Linked DNA regions of Arabidopsis thaliana. The protein of the gene in region 2 interacts with the protein of the main gene of each other region in a pairwise test. Each region holds a gene or a part of one and is shown on either strand. Other genes may lie near its edges.

Evidence for each region.
Region 1: the proteins of CLF (region 2) and RING1 interact in a two-hybrid assay, tested with the Arabidopsis thaliana proteins (one study listed by BioGRID).

Annotation. Positions count from the first base shown.
Region 1 is NC_003076.8:3,264,261-3,269,313, reverse strand, and holds RING1 (RING/U-box superfamily protein), read right to left. Parts: upstream 1,680-5,053; 5' UTR 1,496-1,679; coding exon 590-1,495; 3' UTR 501-589; downstream 1-500. Other genes in the region: AT5G10390 (Histone superfamily protein), read left to right, coding at 1-249; AT5G10370 (helicase domain-containing protein / IBR domain-containing protein / zinc finger protein-like protein), read right to left, coding at 2,126-3,348, 3,560-5,053.
Region 2 is NC_003071.7:9,951,416-9,962,157, reverse strand, and holds CLF (SET domain-containing protein), read right to left. Parts: upstream 7,067-10,742; 5' UTR 6,589-7,066; coding exon 6,526-6,588; intron 6,249-6,525; coding exon 6,156-6,248; intron 6,072-6,155; coding exon 5,770-6,071; intron 5,666-5,769; coding exon 5,504-5,665; intron 5,367-5,503; coding exon 5,282-5,366; intron 5,145-5,281; exon of another isoform or gene 5,111-5,144; coding exon of another isoform or gene 5,087-5,110; coding exon 4,952-5,086; intron 4,852-4,951; coding exon 4,804-4,851; intron 4,732-4,803; coding exon 4,660-4,731; intron 4,579-4,659; coding exon 3,878-4,578; intron 3,777-3,877; coding exon 3,626-3,776; intron 3,527-3,625; coding exon 3,303-3,526; intron 3,224-3,302; coding exon 3,092-3,223; intron 2,967-3,091; coding exon 2,876-2,966; intron 2,777-2,875; coding exon 2,729-2,776; intron 2,626-2,728; coding exon 2,497-2,625; intron 2,403-2,496; coding exon 2,325-2,402; intron 2,236-2,324; coding exon 2,041-2,235; 3' UTR 1,772-2,040; downstream 1-1,771. Other genes in the region: AT2G23390 (acyl-CoA), read left to right, coding at 1-106, 211-277, 487-537, 754-806, 973-1,183, 1,268-1,438, 1,531-1,590; AT2G23370 (cyclin delta-3), read left to right, coding at 7,140-7,242, 7,379-7,462, 7,564-7,638, 7,721-7,763, 7,841-7,898, 7,995-8,162, 8,243-8,305, 8,385-8,479 and 3 more; AT2G23360 (filament-like protein (DUF869)), read right to left, coding at 9,431-9,940, 10,030-10,078, 10,161-10,742. UniProt on the Arabidopsis thaliana protein: Polycomb group (PcG) protein. Catalytic subunit of some PcG multiprotein complex, which methylates 'Lys-27' of histone H3, leading to transcriptional repression of the affected target genes, mainly abscisic acid (ABA) responsive elements.

The DNA of each region.
Region 1 (5,053 bases), on a different chromosome or scaffold from region 2:
TATCAGAAGAGCACTGAGCTTCTGATCCGTAAGCTTCCTTTCCAGCGTCTGGTTCGTGAGATAGCTCAGGATTTCAAGACGGATCTGAGGTTTCAGAGCAGTGCTGTTGCTGCTTTACAAGAGGCTGCTGAGGCTTACCTTGTTGGTTTGTTTGAAGACACTAATCTTTGCGCCATTCACGCTAAGAGGGTCACCATCATGCCTAAGGATATCCAGCTCGCGAGGAGAATCAGAGGAGAAAGAGCTTGAAGACTGTTGTTATGGTTTATATCTTTTGATTTAGTTCGTCAATGGAACTCTATTTCTGGATTTTGATTTGCGTTTTAGTAGTAATGGGTTCTTGTAAGTGTTGAGCTTTGGCTCGTTTTAATTTTCAGTTGTTAGGTACTTTGGTTTAGTTAGCCTTGAAGTGTTCGATGAAATACCCCAACGAAACTCTCTCCTGTTTAATAGAACTTATTTTCCTTAATTTCTTTGGTTTTGCTGCTCGTTGATCATATAATATTGAAACATTGAAAGTTTCGATTTATTTCAGATACTGTATATAACACACTAGATATTACATTAAGCTTCAATGTAGTTACACCAATTAACTGGTGTTACCAGTTACGGATGGCATTTGGTTTTGTGGAATCGGTTGTTCGTTCCTTACTCTTCTTGATGATGAGAACAAGTTAGCACTGAAGCTGGTATAGAACTGTCTTCCACTTCTAGTAGCATTGTTAATACCATCGCAAAGTGATAAGCTTCCTCCAATTGAAAACGATCTTCTCACGTTTTCTACTCTTCCTGAGCCACAGTAGTTTGCCAAATCACTTTGTGCCCTTGGAAGAAAAATGTTATGGTTTCTTCTAGATCTGGAACTGTCTTGTCTTCCACGGAGGTCATTGCTCGATTCAGAATCTGGTTGATGATTCGTCTCTGTTTCTTGATGAGGTGGTTCAGTGATAAGAAGTACAGGGGCACGACATAAAGGACAGTTCTTGTGAGAGAGCAACCAAGTGTCGATGCAATTTAGATGAAAGGCATGGCTACACTTTGGTAACAGTCTCAGCGACTCGTCTTCTTCAAACTCGTTTAAGCAGACAGAGCATTCTGTGCCGTCGATTATCCCTTCTCCCTTTTTGAATCCAACGACTGTGATCGAGTTGATCGCGGAACGGTGGAGACCGACGGTTGGGATTTGCCAAACGTGATGAAAGTCGGAGAAATCTCTCTCCTCTGTTTCGTCCTCATCTTCCTGTTGGTTTGTGTCACCGGGAGTTACGCTGGCGGCTGAAATCCGCCGTTGTTGCGTGATGTGGAGGTAGAGGAAGAAGACTAGAAATAGAAAGAGTATGATTGAGCCGACGACGCAGATCGAGGTGGGGAGTAGGAGAGAGAGCTCCCTCGGTGGCGGTGGTGGTGGTGGCGGGGGAGGGTATTGCCGGAAACAAAAGCGTAAATCTTTAAACTGTAGACATGAAAGAAGCATTTTTCTGTGATTAAACGCCATTGTAGGAGTTCAGAGACGACATAAACAGAGCAAAAACAGAGGACTTTACTTTCAGACACAACTAGTAGAAAACAGAACAAGAACAGGGGAAAATGGGTATGACACACAATTCCAAGTTTTTGCTTCTGATGAAAGCAAAAAGAAATAGGACACTAAAACCCACAAAATGGGTTAGAATCTAGACAAGAGTCATGACCCAAAAAATCTTCGTGAGGAAATAAGTGGGTACACAGCCACACACATCACAATCTACAAGACTAGGAATTAGAGAGGATTTGTCCTTTTTAAGGGTTGGAAAGTGGGTGGAAATTTCCTGAAAGTGATAACGCCATTAAAGGCGATGTCTCTGTATGTTAGGAAGTAGTTTCCTTTCAACTTAGTAAACTCTCTGTAGACATTTACGCGTAATCAGTCATGTAGCGAGTCAAGTAAGTCTTTCATTTACAACAATCTTAATTTATTTGGCATCCGGTTTAGATTATGATCGGTTTTTTCAGTTGGTTAAAGAAGGTATAACTACCGAACTACACTATCTTCACATATGTACACATTAAGCATACCAGATGTTACAGAATATAGATACATAGGTCCGGTCTAGTCGGGCTGGGCAACGGGGTCCTCTGGGACACCTTACTCGACTAATCCGATTCCACCATGAATTGTCCTTAAATGGGCATAACAAGGTTCTTCTTGAGTGAAGACGTCTAAGCAGGTCCAACAAATGTGCTTTCCACACCGGCACTTCATATGGTTACACCCATCAGTCTTCTCTATCGTCGACTTGCAAATCGGACACTCCTTTACGTTCTTCCCTTTTGCCCAGTCCTTTAGCGACAAGTCCGGATTTTCCTTGAACTTTTTGTACCTTTCACAAGTGATTAACGGGTGATACTCGAGGTGACACCTTGTGCATATTTCTGAGTGACATGCTCCACAGATGAATGGCTCACCAGATTCTTGAGGTCCAGCTACACGGTAGACGGAAGGGCAATCAGGTGTGGAGCAAAACCTGAACTTTCCATCACTGGATGTTACAAAAGAGGACAAGGATGCGCTGAAGAGTTCATCGAGCTTCTCTTGTGATAAGAGGGCTCTCATATCAGCGAGTACTATTGGAGCTCCACAGTCTATGTGAGAACAAAGTATTGGGAATGCGTCAAAGTTTCTCATCGATGCCTCAAATTGCTCCAACAAACAAGCTTTGCAGAAGAGGTGTGAACATCCTTCAAGAGAGTAGCCATCATCAACTTCAGACAAGCAAATGGGGCATTCAACTTCAATCTCATCTGGTTTTTCACCCAGTGCACTCTTTTCTCGTGCAAGTTCATTGACCATCTTTTGTACTTCCTGCCTCATTTCTTTGCTCCCATGAACCTGAATAACATGGTACCGGGTGTTGAGCTTGAGATCCACACCATGCACCTTTTCTTTGATACCTTGGAGCTCCGGACCAAACCGCTTCACAACTTCCTTCATGAGGTCAGGACGGATCTCAGGACCTCGGAGGTGGATTTCAAGTTGCTTGCTCTCATGATAATCCATAAGTGCCTGAATCAGTTCTTGTTCTGCCTTGGCAATTTTCTCACTTGTTCCACAAATGCGTACTGTGAGATTGTGCCTATCTAATAGAATGTAAGTTTCTGTCTCCTGCTGGATCTTCCGCATCAGATTAATACCATCTCTGGACATAAGATGCTGCAGGACTCTACGTGTGAAGCCTGGATGGTTTATGGGTCTTCCTCTTAAGAGTTCTTCAAGTTCTCTCCGCATCTCCGCAACGGGTCTTGTTGCATAAGCAGTAATTTTAACACGATAAGCCCCGTTATGAGTTGGTTCCAGACAGCATTCACCCCCTACAAAAATATAAACAAACGTTAATGCACATCAAAATTTGGACAAGTTCACAGGAAAAATAGGACACCTAAGCTTATGCATCCTTCAAATATCCCTTACCCTACACGATTGTTCTTAATCAATATCGGAGTCAGAAGTAGACATTCAGTAAGGTTATTTGTTGACAGAAAATTAAAGAGCAAAAGATCAAATGTTGTGTAGAAATTTTACCTTTTTGTCTCTCAAACCTTGCTAATAAAACGTTCAATTGTCTTTTGACAGTGTTGTAGATAGAAGCGGAGCAGATTATGGAGCTCTGAAACAATTGTTCGCACTTTATCTTCTGCCATGGAAGACATCCAGGTAGCACCTCCCCATTTAACTCTTGCAAAGCTTTTGCAGCTTCGAAATGTAATCTCCCGTCAAACTTAATTAACGCTCGCATGAAGTAATTGTCTTCTTTTGGTTCAAAAACTTGAACTTGGACACAGTTTGGCTCTGGATTCTTTGCTGACATGCGCGCAAATATTCTCTTATGAAGCTCTTCTTCGCAAGCAGTAGGAGATGGGCACTGCACACTGTATTTTTTTCTGAATATGAAAAAATTCAGATCTCTTCTCTGCGTTCTGAATTCCAAAACATCTAAAACTTCTGCTTCCGAAAGATCTCCAAGTCCACTTATCAAGATAGAATCATTTGACTGTTGATCTCTCTGAATATGGACATAATTTGTTCCTATCTCAAGGCTGGATATATCACCAAGTATACGGTGAATATCTCCGGAAGGGCACTTAAGACATCCTCTACCACTGCTTTCCCTTCTCGGCCAACGAATCTTAGCTGTCACGGAAGAGAAATAAGGCATCTTGAAAATTCCTCCACCAGTTGACAGTGATGGAAATAATTTGAGCACTGATCCTTTGAAATAAAATTTCTGAATTTCTGTTGCCTTCATAGCAGATTCTGGAGTGAGAAAGGTTATTCTACCCCACTTCTCCTTCTCATCACAGTCTTGCTTGTTCGCAGCAAACTTGTATATAGAGCAAATAGACCCATCAATCTTCTTCTCCAGAAACGTCAGAAGCTCTCTGTCATCAACAACATCATCGCCATAATAAAGTACATCGACTGTCAGAAATCTCTGATCAACTTCAAGATGCTTTATCTGAGCACCAGATCCAAACAGTGCAATAGGTACTTGTCCCCGACCATGATATAGATACTTCTCCAAACATTCATTATGCATCCATTTCTTTTCACATTCCAATGCATCGTTCACAAGGGCTGACACTTTTTCCATGTCGAGGGGAGGCGCATACAGTCGAATCTCATTCTGATCAACATCGACTTGAATACCAATCCTTTCATCCGAACAAAGAGACCTAGCACGAGAAACAATTGAAAGCAGACTACGATTAGATTTCCCACAGAATCGTTTTAGCACAGTGCTGCTACAACCAACCACTTTTTTAATTCGGAGCCTCCGCTCATCCATCTGGGATACGTCAAAAGGTGGTGGTGGATCAAGCATATACAAAGCTTCAAAATCACACGCAGTTACACATACCAAGTACTGGTCCACAATAGATAGAAGTTCACCGAAAACAACCCAGCTTGGCTTCTGGCCAAATGCTAGCAATGAACACGATGGATGTAACTGAACTTGTTGACCAGTCAATGCCACCTCGTATCCAAGCTGATTATAGCCAGTGTACATCGCCACGT
Region 2 (10,742 bases):
TGCACATTACATTTCCGTCTGGAGCTGAGTGGGACAAATTGAAAGAGAAAGGCTTCTCACAAAGGATTGGAATGCAGTACCACTGGAAAAATCGTGATTATAAAAAGTAATTGAAGTTAGTTGCCAGTATATTAGTTCTTAACAATGACTGGATTGGAAGTAGTTGCTATTATATTTTGTTCATTTTTTTTTTTATCTCTAATACTTCAGTTTTGACGAGTTCTTGATGGACATGAAGCAAAGCAAAAGGAAAAATATCCGACAGGAACGCAAAAAGGTTTGTTTAGTTTCCTCTTTTCATATCATCCTCATTGTGCAATTTATTCTTGTCTCTTAAGTTTCTTTGCTCATGTGAATAGTAAAATGGAATGGTTACTCTTTTTTTCTTCCCATACAACTTTTGAATTGTGGCCTTATTTCGTTATCCGTTCCTTGTGGCGTTTTTCAAGCACGCTGCTGACTTCTAATGCTCCTTTTCTCTAGTAGATTGGTACCCAGAATTTGAAAATGAGACGGCTACAAGGAGATGATATAAAGGTATGTAACTGAACTGCCACGAGACGAATTTGTTGTAATTGATTATGCCTGGCGGTATCTTTTCATTTTAATGGCTATAAATAATCAACCATGGGATATCAATCTGCTACCAGAGGTTAGAACTGATGGCACATGCTATAAAGGACATTATGGGGCTTTTATATTAATATGTGTCTTAAAAATTTGATTCATCGTTTGTGCCTAATGTTTTTGCAGGCTAGGCACTGGGATTCCTTCTATGATTTCTACAGGAACACAACTGATAACAAGTTTAGTCTTTATCTTTGAGACATTTTTGTTTTTCTTATCATTAGTACACATTATGTGTCTTTGTGCATAATAAACATACTTACATTCAATTACCTGTCATCGTCAAGTGTATGCATTACCTGTGTTTGTCCTTTCACATGCTTAACGATTTCCGGCTAATTTTAGATGGGGCACACCTTATCTCACAAGGGATTTCTTTCACGACATGGCATCGAAGTTGGGAGACAAGGTATTGCTTGTTTTAGCTGAAGAAAACGAGGAACCTGTTGCAGGAGCATTGAATCTCATTGGAGGAGATACTCTATTTGGGAGACTATGGGGATGTCGTCCCGACTCCTATTATCCTAGTCTCCATTTTGAAGCATGCTATTACCAGGTTGGTCTTGTTGTTTCAAAGTCTCAAGAGTTTTCGCCGAGACATACTTGATTAAAACTCACAAACTGATAATGGGATTCATAGGCAATTGAAGCAGCGATAGAGCTTAATCTGAAAACGGTAGAAGCTGGAGCGCAGGGTGAGCATAAGATTCAGCGAGGCTACCTTCCCGTTAAAACATATAGTTGCCATTACATATTCGATGAAGGTTTCAGGCAAGCCATAGACGAGTTTTTAGTGCGCGAATCAAATCAGGTATGTTTTGAAGTTATGGTGTTAAAAGAGTATATAAACATAGCTATGTAATTGGATCATCGACTTAAACAATGTAACTTTGTGCATCGCAGATGGATTATGTCATCAGACTGATGCATGAAGATGGACCCTTCAAAGAGAAAATAGAATAGATGCATTTATATCTTGGTTATCGCAAACATTCTTGTATATCTTAATTCTTAGGTTTATGCGTCAATGTACATTTTAATTTGGCTGCTCATGTTCGTTTTCTGATTTGGTTTTGTTACTTTCTGATCACCAAATGTACACTGACGCCTAATTTAATTTATATAGATTGTGATGTGTGAGGAATACCACATTGATGTCAGCTCCAAAGCTCACCAAGTTTCTCATCTGTAATTTAAAAACTTTAACCCGAGTCTCAGTACAATAAAATGATAATCCAGAAATGTAAAACGAAAAAAGGAAATTTTAATCCAACGAATACAATTTTTCTTTAGACTCAGCAAAATGTATGAATTTGTTTCAATGTGTTCTTCCGTGTGGAGAGTAATGAGGATTAAAGCGTTCTTCCACCTGTAACCAAAGAATTGACAAAAAAATGGTTGTTTCTTTTGTTGCTAAGCAAGCTTCTTGGGTCTACCAACAGAAGGTGTAACATTTTCGTCTTTCTTAGAACCAGGAGCTTCAGGTTTTTTGGCCCAAGCTGGAGCTCGATCTGGCTCATACCGGTAATCGTAAAATAGTTCTTCTCCAGCCAGTATCCTCTCTTTTGCGAAGATCCCCACCCTGTGATCTCCAGCAACCATGATGACCTTGAACAGATACAAAGATTTTGAGGAAAAACAGAACATACCCATCATGCGAAAACCGTATCTTTAACTTGCACTTTTCACATTTTTACCTTTGCGTAACAGTTAGGTTCAGGAGAATGGTTGGCGAATTTCAGTTTATCTCCTTTCCTGTAAGCATCTAGCACAAACTGCAGCACAATCCAAAAACATTTTAAAATTTGAAGACAACCTAGAGACTAGAGAGAAAGAGAGTTGGGACATTTCAAAGCTGCTGAGACGTGCCTGATCGTTTAGATTGAAGAGAAAAGAGCAGTTCTCGCGATCGTATATCTTCCCGCGTTTATCTGCCTCTTTATGTGAGATCAGCTCTCCTGTGTATTCCCCAAGGTATTCATGCTTACTTACACTGTTCTGTAAGAAGGAAAAATAATTGTTCTTAAGGCAAGTTCATACTCTAAACATAGATTAATCTTTGAAGGACTTATCAGTTTAACAAATTTTGAACCTAATATACCTTTAAGAAAGCTCCCCAACCAGAAACATCAGATATTCCAAGTAAAACCTGAAATTAACATAAAAAAGAGGAGGAAATTTAGCCATTTCATGTTTAATCATTTGATTGCAGATCATAGATATTTAGTTAACAAGGCTAAGTATTTACCCTTTGTTGTTGTTTCAGGAGCAATTTCATATTCCTGCACTCATAATTATCGCCTCTTTGGCTTGGGACCCCAAGCGAACCATCCCCACCACTACACATTCAAATTCATTCAGACACAGTATAAGTGCATCTGGAACTACTAAAAAAAAAGTTGCATTTCTTGAGCATTTTCTAAGAAACCAATTAGGATGGATTTGCATCCCCAATAAGACTTACATGACCCAGCAGTTTCTACAAACATCTGGGTCACATTCCCGATCTGCAGCAAAGCATGGACACTGGCGGCTTCGACACTGACTTTTGGCACAATGACAACCTCTAAACCTATTCTTGCAGCTCTTTGGGCAACTACACAGAAAATATAGTTTGTTGGTAATGAGATTCAAAGCTAAGAAATACAGATGTGGATAATCATAGATTACATTACCCGCAGTACTTCTCGCAGCAAGTCCCGTTTAGCAAACAAGGACATTCCTTCCCACAAGCAATTTTGCAGTTACATGGATTAAACTGACGGCAGGGCTGGTCTTTCTTCTCAGTAATTCTTTTCCTAATTGAATGATATGCAGCAGACTTCCAGGTATACTTCAAGCGCCGCACTTTGCCTCTCCTACGTAGAAATCTTGACCTTCTCCTCACTTGGTTATTAACCTGGTTAGTCCAGAAACTAAAGCATTAAATCCGAAGAGAAATAAATCGATTTTATCAGGAATTTGTAAACAAAGTCAAAAAGGTTTAGTGTTAATATACCATATTTCCATTGATATCGAACTTGGAAGAGCCATCAGGATTCAATCCATCACCTCCAAAGAAGGAAGCTTTATTTTCCGAGCACGTCATGTATTGGAAGACCTCCCAACATGATTTGAAACCACTCAAAAGATTTCTAGCAATCAAGCAGCTGCAAAGAAACAAAGAATCCATATGACTATATTCCACAAATTGAAAAACCTGAAGCAGAATGATAATTTAGCAGTAGCTAAATACATCAAAATTACCCACCTATTCATTCCAAAAATCTCAACACCTTTATCAAAAAGGCTTTTCTCAAGTGGTCTCCACAACTTATTTGTAGCCAATCTTCCTCGAGATACAGTTTCACCCATAAACTCTTCTTTCCTTAGACTTTCATCACTACCCGGCGCATCAAGCTCTGACGCAACCTCATTTGACTGGCAAACAGGAACGTCATCCTTCACAGAATTATTGGAGACTTCGGCAGGAGTGCCATTCTTCCTTGACTTCCCGGAGTTCCCAGATTTTACATGCTTCTGAGAAGAGGAAGTAGCATCTTCATTATCTTTATGTTTTGCATCGCTGGGTGAACAACTTCCACTGGCGATGGAATCACTATCCGAGGCTTCTGTCTTCTTCTGCCTCTTCTGAGTCTTACGAGGAACTCGCTCAGCAACTCGGTTTTTGTTCCTCTTACGACCTACTCGTCTCCCACTACCTTTCACCTTTGGCGATGATGAAACTTTATCGGAATTGGTATCCTGCTGTAGTCCATTCTCTGAGTCACTTGTTTCTAGTGCGCACTTTTCATTAGACGATGCACTTTCACTTGGGAAGGTCTTTGGTTTTCTCCCATTAAGTTTGCTGGAGAACTTCGTGGGTGTGGTTTTAGTACCTGCACCATCTGATGAAGTGCCAGTTTTACCTTCAATGGTGCCATATCCCGGAAATCTTCCAGACTTGAGAAGCTGATAAATTGAAAACAACGCTTTTTGTTAAACCAGTCTTTCTAGGAGATGAGCTTAGCAACGAGAAAATAACAAATTTACCGTTTTATAGCAGTTTGCACCACAGGTTAAATTTTCATCTACAGGAGGACACCATGGAGCTGGTTTCTCAGCCTAAAAATCCATAAAATTAGATAAGTAACACTAAAGTTATAGTAAGATTTTTTCGGTTGGCACTAAACTCACCGGAAAAATGAGATCCTGTGAACACCCATGAAGCCGGCAATCAAATACCTGCATAGATGCATACAAAAGTTAAAAAGAGACCAATGTTTGCTCGATCATTAAGCAATAACCCATGAAACATTAGCCTGAGAAAATCAAATGGACTAACAAGGCATCTACGGCAGAACAGGTTATCGAAAGAATCTAATGCTCCTTCCATATCTTTGTTGAGAAGGGAGCTCTCTGCTTGATTATCGCCACTCTCGGATACTTCTTTTTCCTTCATAAGCACTCCATGTCTTGCCTGTATAAGATGGTCGGTGTTCATATCTCTGCAAAAAGCCAATTGGGAAAGGGCTGGAACAATACTAATTGGATTTCCTTAAACAATGCATCCCTCACTCTGTTTTGAAATCCTACAACTGAAGTGCTTGATTCTAAAGAAAATAGCACATGATAGTTCACACAAGCAATAGGCAGAGAAAAAAGTTGTTGATACCTTGATTTCACTAGTACTTCTAGACAAGAAACTTGCTAGTTCCGCCAGGACTGAGTCTGAAAGACCTAGTTGCTCAAGGGTCATGCTGAAGAAACGAAGGGAAATTTAATCCAACAATATAAGTGAGAACAAACCAGCATAACAGTTGACATAGCAGACAAGAGATTCACACTAAGAGACCAAAATGCAAGAATGATTAAACTCCTGCCATTTAATACTAACCGAATAATATAATCTTCAGGCTCCAAAAAATCTCTTTTTTCTTCTTCGTCGTCAATGGCCTCCTCTTCACTATCACTGCAGATAAGCGCTTCCCCGCCAGTTTGATCATAATAAATTCTCCTTCGACCCACTACAGACTGGTCTTCAGTCATTCTTTGATTTCTGCATCATTTCAAGAGTGATTATAACGTTAAGATACTATGCGAGGGGCTTACATTTCAACTTGAATATTTTCAAGTACTCTTGCGACATTAATGTCAACATACCTGTCCAGAAAAACCCATGTGGTATAAGGTGACAAACGTTTGATATCAGGCATTTTGATAGGACGTAAGGAAATTTTGACAGGGACACTAGATCCTTGAACCATTCCTGAACTGGCAGGTCCATCTTCTACATATCTGTTGTTATTACTTTCATCGATTCCGCTTTTCATACCTGGCGAATCTCTTTGCCTCTTAACTAAAAGATCACTGCCATCTTTACAGCTACCTCCTCGTTCCATAGAAGACCTCATAAAACTTTGAGTAATAGCAAACAAATTCTTCTTGTTTTCATCAATCCTTTTCTGGTTACAAACACATCAATTTCTAACAATCAGATTCAGAAACACATAAAACATACAAAAAAAAAACTAAACAAAAATAGCAACCTTTATTGATATACACCTATCAGCTGCAAGCTTCTTCTTTAGCGATTCTATTACTTCTGATACTTCCTTAGAAGCTGGACCTCTCTCCTCCGCCTGAAACATCAAAATGAGGTTCCTTTACACAGTGTTCAATGAGAGAAACTATCAATTGCAGCAAAAATGGTTCCTAAACGAACCCAAAAACAACTTCATATCTCACAATCCAGCAATCTCTAGATCTAAAAACGAGCATATAGAGAAGCTCAAACAAGCCATCGAGTTTCGTTCTCTTCACTCAAACTAAAGCAAATCAAAGTCAATGCCTCAATAGCACAAAGAAAAAAGTTCCATTTTTAGAAAGTAAGAAAAAAAAAAAAAACGATTGACGCACCGGAGAGTCTTTGGGTGGCTCCGATCTGGTGGCCGAAGAAGAAGGCGAAGCTTCTGACGCCATTGTCAAGAAACCAGATCGGAACCGAAACAAATGCGGGTCCGGGTTAAGATCCGGGTCGCGAAATCTGAAATGTTGGAGGAGAGAAGGAATTTGGCGGGTCGTTATAAACCCTAAAAATTTATCTTCAATTTTGTTTTTATTTTGGATCTTTTATCTTCAAATCCAAAAAAAATTTCGTTTTACTTTTAAAGAACATTGTTTACGAATTGGGAAGCGTGTAAATTAGAAACTTTTTCCAATTATTTAAAAAAAAAAAAGTTGGTGGGAAAATAGCGACGTGGCAGCTCGATTTGAATTATCTACTGTACATCTCCGGCGACGGTTTACCGGAATATCACGTAGCTCGAGACAACGAATCTACTAGAGTTCGAGACTGGTTCTATATCAACTGAACAAAACAAACACGAACGTTGCTGGGCTCTGATTTAATGGGCTCTTAAACCCTATTTGTTTGGGCTTTATTTTTTGTTTTTTTTTTCAGCAACAGCTTTTCGAAGTCTCTCTGTAATCTCATCGGACGAGAAACAGTACGGCGATCGGAAAACTCTGAGATGCATCGCGGCGCGGCGGTTTTCGGACGGAAACGTAGACTGATACTTCTCCATGGCAGCAGAAACTTCGCCAGATCCTTTTGCTCTTCTTCTTCACTATCTGGTGAGAGGGATTCACATCTTCGCTATTTCATTTGCAACTTCTGGAAGCTGTGCGATGGCTTGAGATTGGTTTATGATTCTTACGGTGCCGAATTTGAACAATCAGTGAATCGAAGTTAACGATTGATTATGTGCAGAACATGAATGTTTCATTAAGGATATAGCAAAAGCTCAGCCTCCTAAGCATCTGATGCAGCTGCTGAATATATTCACAGCTAGAGGTAAATCAATCTTACACTGACTTGCTGATCGTATTTTCGAAGTTTTTGTTTGTTAACTTGCGGAATGGTGACTTTTGCTTGTGGTAATGACATTGGATCAGGTAAATCCATAGTTTCTCCTGGTGCCAAGCAAGGCTTGTTACCTCTTACTATTCCGTTGGTGAAAATGAGCCCGGGTATGATTCTGGACTTGTACATAAGTTCTTATCTGAGGTTGTAACACTTTCATATTAAGTTTGTATGACTTTCCTTTTTCAGGTTCTTCAATTGCTCTATTACGGTGGCCAACAGCTCCTTCTAGGTTAGATCCTCCTTGCTTTTTTAATATCGTCATGTTTCTCTTCTTTTGTAGCTTATCATTGTTTGTGGTGTTTGCAGTATGGAGATGCCTGTGGTGGAAGTTCAGAAACATGGGGTTTGGTTTCTAGCTAATAATGTAATGAGTCTTTTTATAGCATTACTGATGCGTTAATTTAGGGTTATTTTTGTTGAGTGTTCATTCTCATATCTGACTTCATTGGCCAACATTCAGGTTGATCAGTTCATTCACAGAATATTGGTGGAAGAAGATGTTTCCAAACCCGAAGAATGCAGCCAAGAAATCTTCAATGCTGCTGGTGAAGCTGGGAAGAAACTTTACAGTAAGGGTGACTTTGCCAGTTCAAGACTGATGGATTTAGATGCCTATCTTTTAAGAAAGGTACATATATTGAGCCTGTTAATATCAGAATCTTTTCTGCACATGGATACTGGGATATGATTATTAGCTTTGTAATTCAGGTTGGATTGTTTCCAGATTCTCTTGAACGAAAAGTTATTCGGCATATCGAGAATGGAGACCATGTAAGGCTAGTAATTATATCTATCCTGTTGTAGTTGACGTGTTTTCTCTTTTTAAACTATCTTCACGTGCTAATACAAGGTTTCAGCTTTGGTGGCTACCGAGTTTTATACAAAGAGAGGGAACTTTCCCGGATTTGCCCGGCCATTCGCTTTCAACGCAAAAGTTTTACTGAAGTTCGTATGATCCTTTCTCATCATCCCTCTTTCTCCCTTGTGAACGACCCCCAGGTAAATGCTTACGTCCTTTCTAGAAAACTCTAAGACCTCTATATATTTTGTAGACTTGGGCGTAACTTAGAAGCGAAAGACGCAGCTAGGGGTGCTTTGAAATCTTCGTGGTGGACCTTAGGATGCAGATATGAGGTACAATTCCTTGACTATCGACAAGCAATTTTGGTAATCGAAAAGAGAAGGGAAAAAAGTGTTGAACATATGAAACGGGTTCCCAGGAAATTGCTCAAATAGCAGAGTGGGGAGAAGAGCAAATTGCGCAGTATAAGGAGAGAGTTACAGGAGAAGGAAAACAACGGGATATAGACAGGGGAAAGCCAATGGCTCAGGTTTGTTCTTTGCCTGTATTCATTATCAGATACTCATATCATGCTTATGGATACAAAGGCTTGAAACAAAACTTGTAATTCTCAGGCATCTTTGGACGAGGCTGCGTTCTTACTGAATCTAGCGTCACTTGAAGGGACATGGGACGAATCACTGGAACGGGTTGCTCAGTGCTACAAGGAAGCTGGACTTAACGACATCGCCAAGTTTGTTCTGTACAGAGATTGAGAAGTCTCTTTTAAAGGCCACAATTTGTTCTTTTGAGACCTGAGATGACATTATATCAAATGATCTTATGCATTTAGTGTCTACGTTGAAGATTTACATTAACCCTGCTAAAGATTCATTGGGTCAAGATTACTGATTGTATCCTTTCTGAGACTAAAAGTGGAATAAAGCAGAATGATCATCTTATAGAGTAATACTCTACGTGGAGATTATATATATACTGCCAAAAAAATCTAGAAAATGACAGTTTAGTTTGCATAGTTTGGGTCTTTGGGACCATATAAAGAAACAGGATTAAGGTATTAGATTATAGTCTAGATGACAGATGCCACCATCTTCTTAGTTGGCAAATGGATTAGGGACCTTCTTGCTCTTACCTTTCTTATTTCTCCCCAACAGCTTTCTCCAGAGGCTCTTAACTCCGCCGGTCTTTTTCTGAGGAACAATGGCAAAGCAGTTTGAGTCGGAGCCTTTGCTTTTGTCTGAGAGAAGAATCTGTTCTAGTGCCTCAATGGTTTCATTGTAAACAGAGCTGTTTCCTCCCTTTCCGTTTTTATCTGCTGCTTGCGGTTTCTGATCCTTGGATTCCCCGGTGTTGTGATCTTCTGCCTTCATCTGATCCAAAAGAGATGATCTCTGGCTGGTCAATCTCTTCTCTGGTTTAGTAGTCTCATGTGAAGGTTGTGCATCAGGTAGGTTGTTCGATTTGTCTGTAACGTCGTACATGAGTGTTTCTGAAAGTAAAGCTGTTTCCTTTGAGTTAGTCAATGCCTTGAGCTGCTTTCCCAGGTTTAGAATCGTCTCTTGACACTCGGCCAACTTTTCTGAAGCAGCAGCGATTTCCAATTCCTGAATCATCAAACACATAAAACAGATTGGTCTTGGACAAAAACAACTCTCAATGTAATGGTATCGATTTTCTTCTGCTTGTAACTTACGGTTCGCATGTTTTGTTTTTCCTCCAGCTTGAGCTCGTTCTCTGAAGCACTGCAACAAGAAAACCATTGGATGCATCAGAGATAAAATGTATGATTTTGCTGACATGAAGTCTTTAAGCATTCATATTTACCTCGCTGTTTTGTCATTTGCCTCTTCTTCAACCGTTTTGCGCGACAAGTTTTGATTACCAGGTTTGTCTTCAATCAACTGATCTTTGCAAGCCAAAAAGGAAACATCTTCCGTTCTAAGCTTCTCTGCTTCTGAAACCTGACGAAATATTCCAATATCAACTTCGCTTCCGCTCCGTGATTCATCCCACTCGAACTGCTTCTTAATCTCATCTCTCATGGTTGAAACATCTTGAAGAGAAAAACAGTGGTTCACCATCCATTCCAACACAGAGCTTAGCTCTTGAGCAAACTTCTTCATGTCTGCTTTTCTGTCTAATAGATCGTAACAAGCTTGAAGAAATCGCTGCAATACACTACTTAGCTCTGTAGTTTTCCATTGCAAGACGCGAGCAGTGTAACCTGAAAGCCTTTCTGATTCTCTGTTGGACACATGCCTCTCATCTTTAAGACTGACTCCCTCGATAACGTCAATGATTCTGTGAATTGATTTGCTGATATTACACTCCATATCCAGTCTATCCTCCACAGTAAGAGTCTTAGTCTCCTGATGGTTTGTAGAAAAGCTTGAATGGTTTACACTT